3 linked regions of the Drosophila melanogaster genome follow. The protein of the gene in region 1 interacts with the protein of each later gene in a pairwise test. Each region holds a gene or a part of one and is shown on either strand. Other genes may lie near its edges.

Region 1 (3,979 bases):
ACATAGCTAAAAACTGTACTAATCAAAATGAAAAATGTTTCTCTTGGGCGTAATCTCATACAATGATTACCCTTAAAGATCGAACATTTAAACAATAATATTTGATATGATATTTTCAATTTCTATGCTATGCCAAAGTGTCTGACATAATCAAACATTTGCGCATTCTTTGACCAAGAATAGTCAGCAAATTGTATTTTCAATCAATGCAGACCATTTGTTTCAGATTCGGAGATTTTTTGCTGCCAAACGGAATAACTATCATAGCTCACATTCTATTTACATCACTAAGAAGAGCATTGCAATCTGTTAGGCCTCAAGTTTAATTTTAAAATGCTGCACCTTTGATGTTGTCTCTTTAAGCTTTGTATTTTTAATTACGAAAATATATAAGAACTACTCTACTCGGGTAAATTGTGACTAACTACACATAACTACATACTTAGCCCATATTTCCGTCCCTTTCTAGAATGAACGAAAACAGTATCTGGTTTTCCCGAAAATCTTATGAATTTAAAAATGCACTTTATTGCACATACTCACACATGCCTGCCATAAAATATGATTCGCGATTTTTCCGCGAACACCCGCGGATCATAAAACATTTGCACCAGCTGCCTGTGTTTATTCACCTACCTGAAACCCATACTCTTATCGCCTGATCCTCGCGCGGTCGCACTATTTAGGTAGACACTGTACAGGCAGCACTCGCGGGGCGCCGCCAGGCAACTTGTTGCCCCTATTTTCTTTGATATAAGTTTTGGGAAATCCAGAAGTCCAATAACGGGGCCTATATGAACGAATATTGATTGGGTTTCTCCCAGTTATAGAGTTTTTATTGATCTTGGGCGCGTTTTAGTAGGTGGATTATGGATGTCCTGGGAAAACCAAGCTCTGAATCCATTCTTACTTATCACAAGACTTGTTTTCCTGTGCCCTTCATCACACCTAGTTTAACTACTATAATTAATAAACTACTTTTTAATCCGCCATTTATGAAGATAATTTATAGCATCTATGCATCTTTCAAATATCGCGAGATATCGCAAAGTATTCATAAATTAGTTTTTTATTGATATTGTAAAGCTTTTTAATTTGGTTCAGGTTTTTATTGTAAATACTTTTCACAATTGTGCACAGTGACCCATTAACATGGTTGCGATATTAACTTAAGACTTAAACAAGTTAATTAAGAGTTTTAGCACTTCTTTTCAAAAGATCATGTTTTAATTATGTTTTTAAATGAATCTTTTCGACAATTCTAAAAATATTATTTCGAAAATGTTAATTTTCATATATAACCTAAGTAAAGATATTTTCAACTGTACCTCACTCTCGCCGCGACATTTCCACACGGTTATCCTGTTATGACTTTTCCTTTGTTCCAACGTATTTTTAGCGAATTCTCGGAAGGAGAAAATCCGATAGCGCCAGTAATAAAATTTGCGAACAATTCCCTAGTTCGAGGACTGAGGATGGGAAGGCCTATGGACCGGAGACCCGAGACAGATTCGCATTCGCCGCGTCGGAGACTTGAGCATATACTCCTTGGAAACAAGCAGAGCCATAAACTGTCCAAATCGAGCATGAAACCCCGAGGAGCATCCTTTCTCACAGCGCTGCTTTCATTGCATTATGAGGATAATTGCGGACGGCGAGCGACCAAAAGCCGCGACAACAGCTTCGGTTTCACTTTCAGCGCCGCCACCGGAGGCTCTTTCAACAGGTGCTACAAGTTGGACAACAATCGCCTCGGATCTCCGATCATCATCAGCCCGTCTACCTGGCGAGACTCCGGCTCTTGCGGCCCAGGAACCCTGGAACTGTCTCTCACGCAACGCCAGATCCTGGCAGGATTTCGATCAAAACAAGCCTCTAGATTGCCCATTGCCAATGGCCGGGAGTCGTCGGACTTGGCTAGTCTCCGAGGTGCCAGTCGGGCAGTCCAGCGACGAAGGGATTTACGACTCGCGGCTTAGGCAAATTTTTTCGCAACGATGCGTCGGCGGAATTGACCTGTTATGTCGTCTACCTACAAGCCCTCCTATATAAGCATGATGTTTGCTTAGGACGACAGATCATTCCACTTTTGACAGCTCACTCGGCAGTACCAGAAAAAATATGTCATCCGTCATGCACTACTATCCAGTTCACCAGGCTAAAGTCGGCTCCTATTCAGCAGATCCTTCCGAGGTTAAATACAGTGATGTGAGTACTCAGATCAAAAATCGAATATCAGCAATAAACTAATTAGTTGTTTACCCGCTTTCAGTTGATCTATGGTCATCATCACGATGTTAACCCCATCGGTCTGCCTCCCAACTACAATCAGATGAACTCCAACCCCACCACCCTCAACGATCACTGCTCCCCGCAGCATGTGCATCAGCAGCATGTGTCATCGGACGAGAATCTGCCATCTCAGCCCAACCACGACTCGCAGAGGGTGAAGCTTAAGCGATCACGGACTGCCTTCACCAGTGTCCAACTGGTGGAACTTGAGAACGAGTTCAAGAGCAACATGTACTTGTACAGGACGCGCAGGATTGAGATTGCTCAGCGCTTGTCCCTGTGCGAACGCCAGGTGAAGATCTGGTTCCAGAACCGACGAATGAAGTTCAAGAAGGACATACAAGGTCACCGCGAGCCCAAGTCCAACGCCAAGTTGGCTCAACCCCAGGCTGAGCAGAGTGCCCACCGAGGCATAGTGAAGCGCCTCATGTCCTACTCCCAGGATCCCAGGGAGGGCACAGCGGCAGCAGAAAAGCGTCCTATGATGGCAGTGGCTCCTGTGAATCCAAAGCCAGACTATCAAGCCAGCCAGAAAATGAAGACCGAAGCATCAACCAACAACGGCATGTGCTCCAGCGCCGACCTCAGCGAGATCTTGGAGCATCTGGCTCAAACTACAGCTGCACCACAGGTCAGCACTGCCACATCTAGCACAGGAACATCTACCAACTCGGCTTCTAGCTCCTCTTCGGGCCACTATTCCTACAACGTGGATTTGGTTCTGCAGAGCATCAAGCAGGATTTGGAGGCAGCGGCCCAGGCTTGGTCCAAGTCTAAATCCGCGCCTATCCTGGCCACTCAATCCTGGCATCCCAGTTCCCAAAGTCAGGTCCCCACGAGCGTGCATGCGGCTCCCTCGATGAATCTGTCGTGGGGCGAGCCTGCTGCCAAGTCGAGAAAGCTGAGCGTTAATCACATGAACCCGTGCGTAACCTCCTACAATTATCCCAACTAATTTTGAGTTAAAAAAGTTATACTAAGTTTTACTATAAATTTTTGTTGGAGCTAAGCAACCGTCTCTGGCCCTTGGACGAAAAATTCTAACCGAACTCAGTGACAAAAGCCATGAATATTCTTAAATTATCGTGAAGTTTAACCATTTTTTTAATAGATATATTAAAATATGCCTCTGTATTGCAACCATAGTTAATAAACTAAAATTCAAATAATACAAAATGATATTTTCTTCACTTTAAAATAATTATTCGATCGATTTCTTAAATGACTCCTTGTTGCTTGCTGTACAACTTTTATAAAACTTTGCTTTAGTTACAATCCATTTAGTATCCTTAAGACCACTCCAATCCAAAGTGGACACTTGGCTTCTGAAAAGGAGAAACCAAGGAAAGAAAGGAGAGGAGAGGAGAGGGGTTAATTTTTAGCATTTAGCTAGTGTCCCAGTTGTCTTCGGTTTCACTTTTGCATTTAATGTCCCATTGCGGGCGACTTGAGGTCAAGTCGAGGAATTTCCATTGCATCGCCCATCTATTAGGGCCCAGAAAAGTGTCAACCGCATTAACTCGGACAGGTCCAGCCCCTTCCCCTTCTCCATTCCCATTCCCAATCCGGATTCGGATCCGGATCCAGGTTCAGTTTCAGTTACAGCGGGTTCCGTTGGTCATCTTGAGCGGCGGACATGGAGTGTTAGGATTTGATTTATGGACATTTAACCGCACACATTACTTGC
Region 2 (5,589 bases), on another chromosome or scaffold:
TAATTGAGTACAAATTGTTGAATTAAAAATAATATAAACCATAATTGTAATCCAATAAAATTAAAAGCCAGAAAAACTAGGCCCATTGAAATCTTAGTTGCAAAATAAATGAACATATATCAAATAAATACAGTCCACTACTGTTATAAATGCAACTAATATACTAATGTACATCTCAGCTTGCTGGCCCTTTGGCAGAATGTTCACACATGAACACGAATATATTTAAAGACTTACAATTTTGGGCTCCGTTCATATCTTATGTAAATGAATCGAGAGCGATAAATTATATTTAGGATTTTGTTATCTAAGGCGACATGGGTGCATTGCTCAAAAACATGTAATTTAAGTGCACACTACATGAGTCAGTCACTTGAGATCGTTCCCCGCCTCCTAAAATAGTCCCTTAGTGGGAGACCACAGATAAGGTCCTCGCCGCTCAAGATAGGCAGATGTGCCCGAGCGTGGGACCTCGATAAGGCGGGGACTATTTACTTAGGCCTCTGCGTAGGCCATTTACTTTAAGATGCGATTCTCATGTCACCTATTTAAACCGAAGATATTTCCAAATAAAATCAGTTTCTTACAAAAACTCAACGAGTAAAGTCTTCTTATTTGGGATTTTACAGTGAGTCTACAATTTGGCGCGCTTAAGGTAATCCTTGTAGGTAACATCACGCCACCAATGAGGACGCTCGTAGACACCTGGAGTGGAGACAAGCGTGCGCTGCAGATGCTGGTAGACCTGCGAAAGGATAGAATCTTTAGTAAGAGTAGCAGTTGCTTATGGTAGACCACTTACGTTTCCATCGCTCATGCCCAGAGGAGAGTTTAGAATAAAGTCTGTGGGAGCAATGGCATCCACCAGAGCAATGGCTTCGTTCTTCAGCAGGGGAAGCAGAGCCAGAATGCCCTGTTCGTACAGCTCCAGTTGGTTAGAGTTTTCGCGGAAGTAACCACCGCGGTAGAAAGCAGCGGAGTACTTTGTGACCAAGTGGGCGCCATAGAAGGAGAGCACCTGCTGCAGTACCTTCTTCTCAGCAGAGTCGGGCAGACCAATTACAAACTTATAAAACACGTAGTAGATGGTGCGCTAAAAGAATATTAAACTTGGTTATTTTACTATTTAGTTGGGGTTTAGAGGGTTGGCATCTCACCTCGCCGTAGATAATGGAGAGCTTCTGGGCGGCAAAGACCTGGATGTTGTTCCTCGTCTCAAAGGCATCCTTTCCTTCGCGCTGCTGTTCCTCAACTCGTTTCACCGTCGTATCCAGTTGCCAGACGGTAAGCCAGTTGAGGGCATTAAGTAGATCTATAGAAGTGCAATAAAATTGCGTTATTCCTATCTTATATTTGGATAACTAAGAAATACTCACTGAGCGGATCCAAAACTTCGGCAGGAGTTCGCTCCTGACCCTTGCTTTGCAGAATTGTGTCCATATCCTTCAGGAAGGAGACTGTCTCCAATGGGGAAACTGCCACGAAGTCGGCATTGTTGCGTTGCAGACTGATCAACCAATTGGACGCTTGCTGGATGAGCGTGTTGTTCTCGCCCTCATAGGTGCAGTTGGCATCGTTGTCGTTGCGAAGTTCGCCCAAGCCAGAAGATTTAAGATAGCCATGACCGCCACAGGCCTCGCGGCATTCCTGAGATTAAAACAATATAACCGATAAGTAAAAGTGGTTATATACATATATAAAGCATTCATACCTGGATGCCATCCCTGGCAGCCCAAGTGGCAACTGGTTTGAGTGCCGATGAGATCGCATGGATCTCCATGCCCGCTTGCGACGTGTCCTCGCCAGTGAAGCCCTTCATGGTCAAATCCACGTTCTCTTTGCCTATCCAGAGTGTGGCCACCCGCAAGGCGATTGTGGTGGCCAAGTGGGGAATTAGTCGGTATTGCTGTGACTGATACTCGATCACGGGCCACTCCGCCGGGCTGTTGGTAGGGCCAAACTGGCGTCTGCTGGCCGCATAGCGAGTGGCAATTGTCACAGCCTTGCTCAAGGCCACATACGTGATAGCAGTGATATTGACGCGACCCACGGAGAGGGCACCCAAGGAGGCGCCAAGGCGCTTACGCTCGTCCTTAATTTTACTGGTGTAGTTTCCCTGCGCATCGATGTCACCGGTCTTGGACAGCAGATTTGCCTTAGGGATACGATACTGGTTGAACATCACAAATCTGCAATGCCAAACAAATCGAAATTATTTCTGTTGCTGTTGATTAGTTTTATCAACTGATAGAAGAAAGTACTTGCCCGTTATCAATGCCATTGAGACCGATCTTTTCGCCCATATCGCCGACGGTTACGCCGGGGAATGGAAGCAATGTACGCTCGTCCCGAATGGGAACAAGGAAGGCCTGCAGGCCCTGGTGCTTGTCATCCGGCACGTACAGCTGGGCGTAGACGATTGCGTGCGTGCAAGTCTTGCCTAGATTACCGACCCAACACTTGGCCGCCTCGAAGTCTGGCGTGTGGATGATAAACTCCTGCCTTTTCACATCGTAGGTGGCACGGGTGCGCATGCCGAGCGCGTTGGTGCCGTGAGAAATCTCAGTGAGAGCGTAGGCGCCCAAAATGCGGTTGTCCGCGATCTTGGCCACGTACTTGCCCAGGCGGCCAGATCCGTTGGAGACCAGCGTGCTGGGGAACATGCCAGTTGAAAGGCCGAACTTGACCGAAGTGCTGAAATCGTAGCTAAAGATGGCCTGTCCGAAAGCAAGCAGAAGATGTGGGGTTCCAAGATACTGAAAGAAAGACAGGAGATTTAGGCAGCCACACTTTCAGGAGTACGCAACGCATCCTACCTCGTTGACGCCGTAGAACTGTTGCTCCCACAGAAGATGCTGCCGCTTGTTGGCCATTTCGCGGGTGCGTTCCAAATCGGATCCTGGCTCCCGCTGGTAGTCGGGGTGCTGTTCCATCCATTGCCACACCTTGTGCTAAAGACGGAGTGACATGTAAACGAATTACTCAAGTGTGCAGATAAGAAACGGGCGACGATTAGACCGGGCGGTTGGCGGCCTGCAGCTCCGACAAAAGCTATCGAGGCAGTCTGCACTTCGACCCCGCTGACCATGTACATATGTAACAAACTGGAAATGGTAACGAACCTTCAGCCGTATGTGATCCTCGCCCTCGAGCACCACGTTCATGCGCTTGTAGCAGAAGCTAGCCCGCTCACGGTACTCTTCCAAAGGTCCGCTACGGAAGTCGGGAAAGATCCGTTTGTCATCGTAGATGTTGGCTGCAGCCTTCTCCTCCCGGCGGCCGCTGTAATAGTCGCCCAGTGCGGTTAGTAATGAGTTCAGACCGTTTTGGTCACCACCATCGCCATCGCCTACTCCGCTCGCCATTGCCCAGAGAACTGGCTCTTGTTGGAATGTTGGATTGGTGGACGTTGTGGTCGTCAGTCGAGGCGATGGGGCTGTGGGGCAGGGGTACTTACTTTGTGCTCAATGCAACCATGTTGGAGTTCGATTCTAGCGACTGGTCTGGCTGCTTCGAATGCTAGGCGCGAAATGCTTGAAAGTCCAGGCACTCGTAACTATTATTGGTAAAATAGCCAATGTCCAATGGCCAGCGGCGATAAGAAGGAATCCGCTTATCCGCACTTCATGGCCAAGTAGCCTTTTAGTGGTTTGCATCCGCCGCGGATAAGATACGGGCCCTAGGAGAATGCGGGATTAGGGCGGCCCGTGCAGGTGGTGGTGGGTGCTGCCTGCGAAATTCGAATCTTTTAGCGGCCACAAACATTGCTTTAATTTCCTATCAGCCATCAGCCAACAACAAGCGCGATAAACAAACAATTTTAACCCAGTTTTTCACCATTGAAGATAACATAGTTTGACGTGACTTAAGCCATGAGAAAGAACGGTGTTATATAAATACAAAATGTGAAGTTTTTTAAATTCTGTTAATTATTATATAATATAATTATTTAATTATTATACATAATATACATAAATTTCATGTTTAATTTTCTTTAATATCACAATTCAATGTTTTCACAAAATGTTTTAGCGGGGGCGTTGCCAGACCTTCTCAAGGTAGCCAGGGCTGGAATAGTAGGTCTGGCGCGTAATTTGAATATTCTTTCTATCAGAAACGAGTCATTTGCTGGTCTAATTTTATCTATTTTGTTATATAAAAACATTACAATATATATAAAAACATTACAATCCACATTTAAAATATGAAAAGAGCATCCATATCCATACCATACAATTTTCATGGATTCTAAATTTGATTTTAATTAAAACTGTTGAATAGTTTATTTTTTTCAAGAGCCCACAATAAAATGCGAATATGTACATGTAATTGATCTAATAGCATTTATTTGATTACGTTCTTAATACAACTTACACACTTAGTTAACATGCACTCATTTTTCCTTCGTTATTGGCTTGTCAGTTTATTCTTACAATACACGTCAGATTATTTATAAAACTAAATTGTAAACATCCGCATAGTAATTCGTTTTTAATACAATAAATAATAACCAAAAAAACACACTGAAGTTGCCTTTTTTGATTTTAAAAACACTTTGGAGATTGATTGATATTAGCAATTAAGGGCGTACAAATGACGGGGTAATTAGTGTGCAATCAAAAACGTTCTGCATTCGAATGTTTAAAATACAATTTTACATTTATAATTATAATCTGACGTCTAGCTATAACCTACGTGTGTATTTCGAGTTCAAATCTTACATTTCACTCTTTTGTATAAGTTCTGGCTAAAATCCTTGCAATAAGCCATTTCGGCAATTTGTTTATTAAACTAATTAGGTAACACGTAGTTATTGATTACAATTTCAATTTTTTCTATTTTCGTTTCAGTGGCTGCGCAATCGCAATAAGTTCCTTAATTGTTGCTAAAAAATGTTCCATTAGAAAAAGCTATAAAAATTACGTCGCTTTTACATATATATGTACGCATTAAAACTTCATTTATAGAGCTGCTTACGAAAAATTCAAATTGACGATTCAAATAAAACGTTGCGTGATATTTTGGTGTTGCTCATTTAAACCGCTGATATTTCTAATTTTCTTAAGATTATCAATAATATGAATGCTTGTATATATTGAATGAATATAATAAATTTAAAAGGAAATAAATGGCCTATTTGAGCTAAATACAATTTAAAATCAAACTAACATTCTGCTAAACAACTAAAGACAACTAAAACACAAGATATTACCACTTTCGGTCTTAAAAGAATACGTCCGGCGTTTCAAATAGATTCAGGCTCTTCTCCATCAGGGTGCCCGTGAGAATGTCCGCCGCTATGGGCTCCTCCAATGCCGGGGATCTCCATTCGGCGCCGTTCGTTCCGCCATCCCCGGCTTTCTCATATCATCGACTCTGCACCGAGCTGGCCGCCGACGAGTTCGATGAGAATGCCGACTGCAGGCTGGTCATCGAACCCTTGTAGTTGGCCGAGCTGAGCACCTCGTAGAAGACGTTTAACTGGGCACCCGATGGACTAAACCAGTGCATAAGATAGCTGTCGTTGTGATGCATCACGTGCGACCCCTGGACGCTCTCCTTGTGCCGGCAAATCAGCGTTGGCTCCTC
Region 3 (4,988 bases), on another chromosome or scaffold:
GGACCTCCTACTAACACCACTCTCCGTGGGGGCTTCCCCGTAAAATGTTTTCATTTGGGAATGGACCCGGTGTTTTCGGTGGTCTCGTTTTCGTGCAACTAAAGAAGAAATCAGAATCAGGTCAGCGACAGTAACGGCGGTACCAAAAACTTGAAAGTCACTTTAAGGCTGCCACACAAAGCCGAGAAGAGAGCAGATGAAATAAATGTTAAGGTCAACATGGAAGGAAACCGAGATATGCTGCCCGAGCGTAAAGGCGGGAGTCAAACCAACAAGTCTCGAAATATTCACTTTGTAATTGGATGCTGTCGTCTGCTGCCTGCTGCATACCTTTATAGCCCAGTCGACCCTCAACAAAACCATACCAACGAACACCCACCGCCAGCGGCCATAAAAAAGGAGCTCAGAATGAATGCACATGGGCTTGTGTATGTGTACACCGCGAGTAAAAGTGCTGGAATCGAAGTGGGGTCCTTCAAGTGAGAAAATCCAAAGCGATGCAAGACATATTACAGAGAAAAACATAAATACTCTCCATATAATATTCCTTTAAACCCCAAGGAGTTTCCAAATCTTAAATATTTTAAAGTTTACATTGTCTAACCTATCTTGCAGTGTACCGGAGCCCAGCACTCTTAAATCAATACTTTTATTGTGTAATTTAAATCATTCAGTTTTCACCCAGTGTATTCGTATCTGTGAGTCTCCGTTGTTCTTCAGCGTTGTTTTCTTTCTTCACATAAAGTCGGTTTGCCTCTGTCTGTGTGTGTTCAGCCATTTTTTGTAGCCCCAAAGTTGAAGCGAATTGTCGTGTTTGTTTTATAGTTATTGCTTTTGTTTCGCTTTCGCCCATCGCAGTGCTCTATTGCCCAGCTTTTCCTACAGCTTTCTCCTTTTTTTCCCTAGCACTTTCCATTTTTTTTTTCATCCTCCTGCGGAGGAGTGCGCTCTTCTTGTCCTTGCCCCTCCTCCAGCTTATGCACATTTAATCTTATGACAGCAAAAATGTTGTAAAATTGTTTATGGCACTTTGCGACATGGTCAGTATTTTTACAGTTTACAGTTTACTCCTTGGGATCTTTTCATTTCGTACACATATGTTCCGGAACTACAGGAGCATTTACATGTTGCTGCTGGGCGGGAATGGGATTTGACGGATGGAATCTCGTGACGAGTGGGATTACGTGGATAATGGATGGAGGAATTGGGCAGCCGTGCGCAGGACCTTTGCAAAAAGCGACGAACTTGCAGGAGTGAAGAAAGTCACCAATGACACTTTAATTTCTTAACTGCATAGCATTCTTTTAATCACATTTCTCAGCTGTAAGTAGTTGCACTTAATTAATGGATACAGATTTGGGAATTGTGAGGTGAGTAAACTTAAAAAGAATTTTAAATGCACTCTGCCAACACGAAATATATGCAATTAAGAAAATTGCTTTAAAAGTAGCCAAATGACCATTTTAGTTTGTAATGATTTTTGTCAAACTTTAACTTTGCTAAAGAAATTATTTAGTTTATTCAAAACTTGCAGTAGTTTCTTTCACTTTGGCAAAACTTAAGCTTCCACAGAAACCCAAATTCATTTTCAATCAAGTTTTCAAAGCTTAATCTCCTTTATTAGTTGATGGCAAAGCTCTTAGCAAAATAAAATCATTGACAAAACTTAGCATACCATTTAATAAACTTCTAAATCAGACTATCCTTCCAAGTGGTAGAAATGAAGTGCCACATTCATTATTTTTCATTCGTTCTACACTGCTGTGATTTCAACTTACCAATTTCGAGAAAATGTTGGCCTTATCTGTCGTCGACAACCTGTTGGCTGCTTTTTCCCATTCACTTAAACGCTTTTCCTCTGATTCCGAATCTTATCTCTATTGTTGCCGCAATAATCAGGCGAATTTCATAAAATTCACTTGGCAAACGATTTGGTTTTCGTGTCAAAGCTCTGTCCAGTTCAATTTGGTATATATTTTAATCGAAATATATTTGCCAAGCTGTCTACATTTTGCTATATACCCGCATTTATTTGTATACGTTCCTTGTGTGGCCAGCAGATGTTTGTTAGTCTCGTTTTTGTTGTCGTTTAAATCTAAAAATTATTATTAGTAATTTGTTGGTCTGCAGACAGCGTATATCCCTCTCTCTCTCTCTCTTCTCTTTCAGGGGCTTTTCTTCTTCTATCGTTTTTGGGTGAAAATTGAAATTGGCTTTCAGCGCCTAAGAATTTTTATCACGATAATTTATGATTGGAATATGCGTGGTCAGTTAGCACTAAGTAAGTACATATATAGTAGACTCTCTCTTGTTAATATGGTATAGTATAGCTATAGTTCTGTCGAAAAATATAGTGTATTCCCTCCTTGTTCCTCAGGCTTCTTGTGTGTTGTATTTTTTTTTTTTTTTTGTTGCGAATTTTGGTCAGGTTATCTCTTTGTGTTATTGGGCTTTTCGGGCACACTTAGTGACTTGTAGCTTGGGGAGCTCTCATTATGGTCACGTTGAAACCGTTGTGGCACTGGCCCAGGCACACTCCACGGCGGAACGGGTTCAAATTGCTTGATTGCATTAATTATTCAGTGCCAACGTCGACGTCGTTACATCTACATCAGCGGCAGCAGGCCGCGCGCATGCCAAAGTTTACTTATGTAAATGCGCCGCGGTAGTCAAATAAACACAGAAACAGAAACTTTTCAGAGTTACAAGTACACACGCGGAGTGGCGATAGTAAAAATTTAAAGCATACTTTTCAGGTGAGCTGCGCTTTGATTTGCATCCAAAAACACAGTTAGCGCGCACACACACGCACGCACCAGGACTTAGGTGGCCAACACGCACACACTCGGACAAACCGACCAAACGACCAACCGACCGACCGACTAACCGAAATAGAAAGTACTGTGCTGGATACTTGTTGTTTCAGCGGCACGAACACCTAACTACTGCCACACTTGTTACGGCCTGGAGTTCAGTTCAGCTCAGCTATTGTTCAGCTGTTTTGGCTAAGTCTTTATTTGTTTGCCGTGCTGCTCTTCCGGCCAACATCACGTCCAGCTAGCGACTGAACAGTGGTTCCAAACGAACGGCGGCGACAACACTGCGTATACGCAACGTCCACAAGTCGGCTGCTTTATTTTCGGAATAGCTTGATGCGGCTGCGTGGGCAAACGAAGAGAAAGCAACTGGGAATTCCAAAGAGCGGGCAGGTGCTCTTGGCCAGAAAAGAGCAGTTATGGGAAGGGAATCAAGCAAGTGGTTGGGCCCTAAGCAAAACAATTGCCATGGAAGTTAATCATTTGGTGCCGATGGCGGTGTGAATACGGAATTCTTTATATACTAATTAATTGCATTACTAATGTATTATTCGACCGGCTCATAATCGAATAATGGAACTTTTTGACGTGAAACAATTTGTTTGCACAGCCAAGTGACGCGATACCGTACACATTCAGGTCAAAGGTTAATTTTTGTCCCTATCTCCCGACACATGTGAGGCCATTAAATAGCAGGACCAGCAGCTTGGTAATGTGTTATTAGAGGGGAGATGCGGCAGGATGGTAGTTGCCACAACAGAGGACAATTAATGAAGCAATCCACGAAGCAATCTGTTGCACTTTTGCCACGGCAATGCACGTAATTAAGTGTAAATTAAAACCAAGTTAACAGGTTAGAGGGCGAACGGAATGCAACGAATGGTGAATGTTCTAAGCGGAATTTTATTGAAATAAAATACCTCATTGAAATCCTCTACCAACATATTTTAACTTATTACTATTATTACAACTTTACAACAATCAGGGAGGGCGCTATAGACGAGTTCTTCGACTACCACATACCCTCTACTTAGCAGGGGTGATGTAAATGTGAAAGAGATTGCAACTAATTAAGTATAGTTATTTTAAAAAATTAGGCTTTCTTTAAATCGCATTAGTGAAAGAAGCTGTTCTCGTCTAATAAACATGGCTAAAAATAGGATTACCCGTTTACCCATCTAAATAAACGGTCAGCTAGAGCCATCTTTATGCTTGATCGCATTACAGTGATTATAGAAGTTGTTTACCCCAACCGCTAACCGCTGAATAGCTCCAAGAATTTGTTAGCCAACCTGGTCCTGTTTGCTGCCCATGGAATCGGGTTTCGCGCGAAGGTAGCGCAAATAAAAGAAACAAGCTTAAGCTCCTTTCAAATACCGTTCAAAGTTAGCAGAAAATCGATGCAATCGAAGCAACAGCAACAACAGCAGCCAACACGAAAGGACATCCGATTCGCAGTGGGAGATTTCGAGGAAAAGGCGGTGGGACAGAGATTATCTCGGTTGGAAAGTGAGAAAAGTTTTTAATTAAAATTCACACGCAATATGTTGCGCATACGCAGCGTTGCTCCGCCACCATCTTACCACAAATTCCTTGCTCATTAGCGTTCAAATTGTGCGCATATCATGTAATTTAGATTAGATTGAAATTGAAAATGTTAAGCGAACCAAGTGGCTGTCTCCAGCCAGCCATCGGAATTTCCAAGAGGGTTGATTTTGATTGCGTGGTCGGGGGAATTATTGCGGCTTTGGCTAAGCTCCTGCTAGAGAGTCCAACTTATAAATATTAATAAAGCCAGCAGCGTGGATCCTTCGTCCTGCACGGGCACATTCGTCAAGTAAATGAAGTCGTCATGAATGAAGCGGCCAGCAATAGAAACAAAATAAATAACTTGTGTAAAAATTCCATCAGTAAATTGTGGTCCTGCTCTACTCTCAATTTTTCAAGAGGTCGACAAGACAAATGGCTGATCAGCTGGAAATGTTTACATTATCTAATCAAAAATTATTCTAAAACATAGTTTAAAATCTATTTTTATTTATTTGTTTATACTTCATTTAGTAAGTTAAATATAAAGAAAGCTTTCATTCAATGCAGCTTATATTGTGCGGAAATTTATACCACATTATATTTGAGTTACCTGAAATTGGCCTTAGATCTGCTAATTTATTT

The links.
Region 2: the proteins of zen (region 1) and Acox3 interact in a two-hybrid assay, tested with the Drosophila melanogaster proteins (one large-scale study listed by BioGRID).
Region 3: the proteins of zen (region 1) and Stacl interact in a two-hybrid assay, tested with the Drosophila melanogaster proteins (one large-scale study listed by BioGRID).

Annotation. Positions count from the first base shown.
Region 1 is NT_033777.3:6,752,291-6,756,269, reverse strand, and holds zen (zerknullt), read left to right. Parts: upstream 1-2,075; 5' UTR 2,076-2,121; coding exon 2,122-2,208; intron 2,209-2,272; coding exon 2,273-3,247; 3' UTR 3,248-3,406; downstream 3,407-3,979. UniProt on the Drosophila melanogaster protein: Required for the differentiation of the dorsal-ventral pattern, and does not appear to be involved in the process of segmentation.
Region 2 is NT_033779.5:6,444,485-6,450,073, forward strand, and holds Acox3 (Acyl-CoA oxidase 3), read right to left. Parts: upstream 3,379-5,589; 5' UTR 3,366-3,378; coding exon 3,123-3,365; intron 2,952-3,122; coding exon 2,817-2,951; intron 2,757-2,816; coding exon 2,266-2,756; intron 2,190-2,265; coding exon 1,712-2,189; intron 1,648-1,711; coding exon 1,377-1,647; intron 1,313-1,376; coding exon 1,158-1,312; intron 1,094-1,157; coding exon 803-1,093; intron 746-802; coding exon 635-745; 3' UTR 586-634; downstream 1-585. Other genes in the region: retm (real-time), read right to left, coding at 5,368-5,589.
Region 3 is NT_033778.4:15,399,174-15,404,161, reverse strand, and holds the start of Stacl (Stac-like), read right to left. Parts: upstream 3,067-4,988; 5' UTR 1,779-3,066; intron 1-1,778.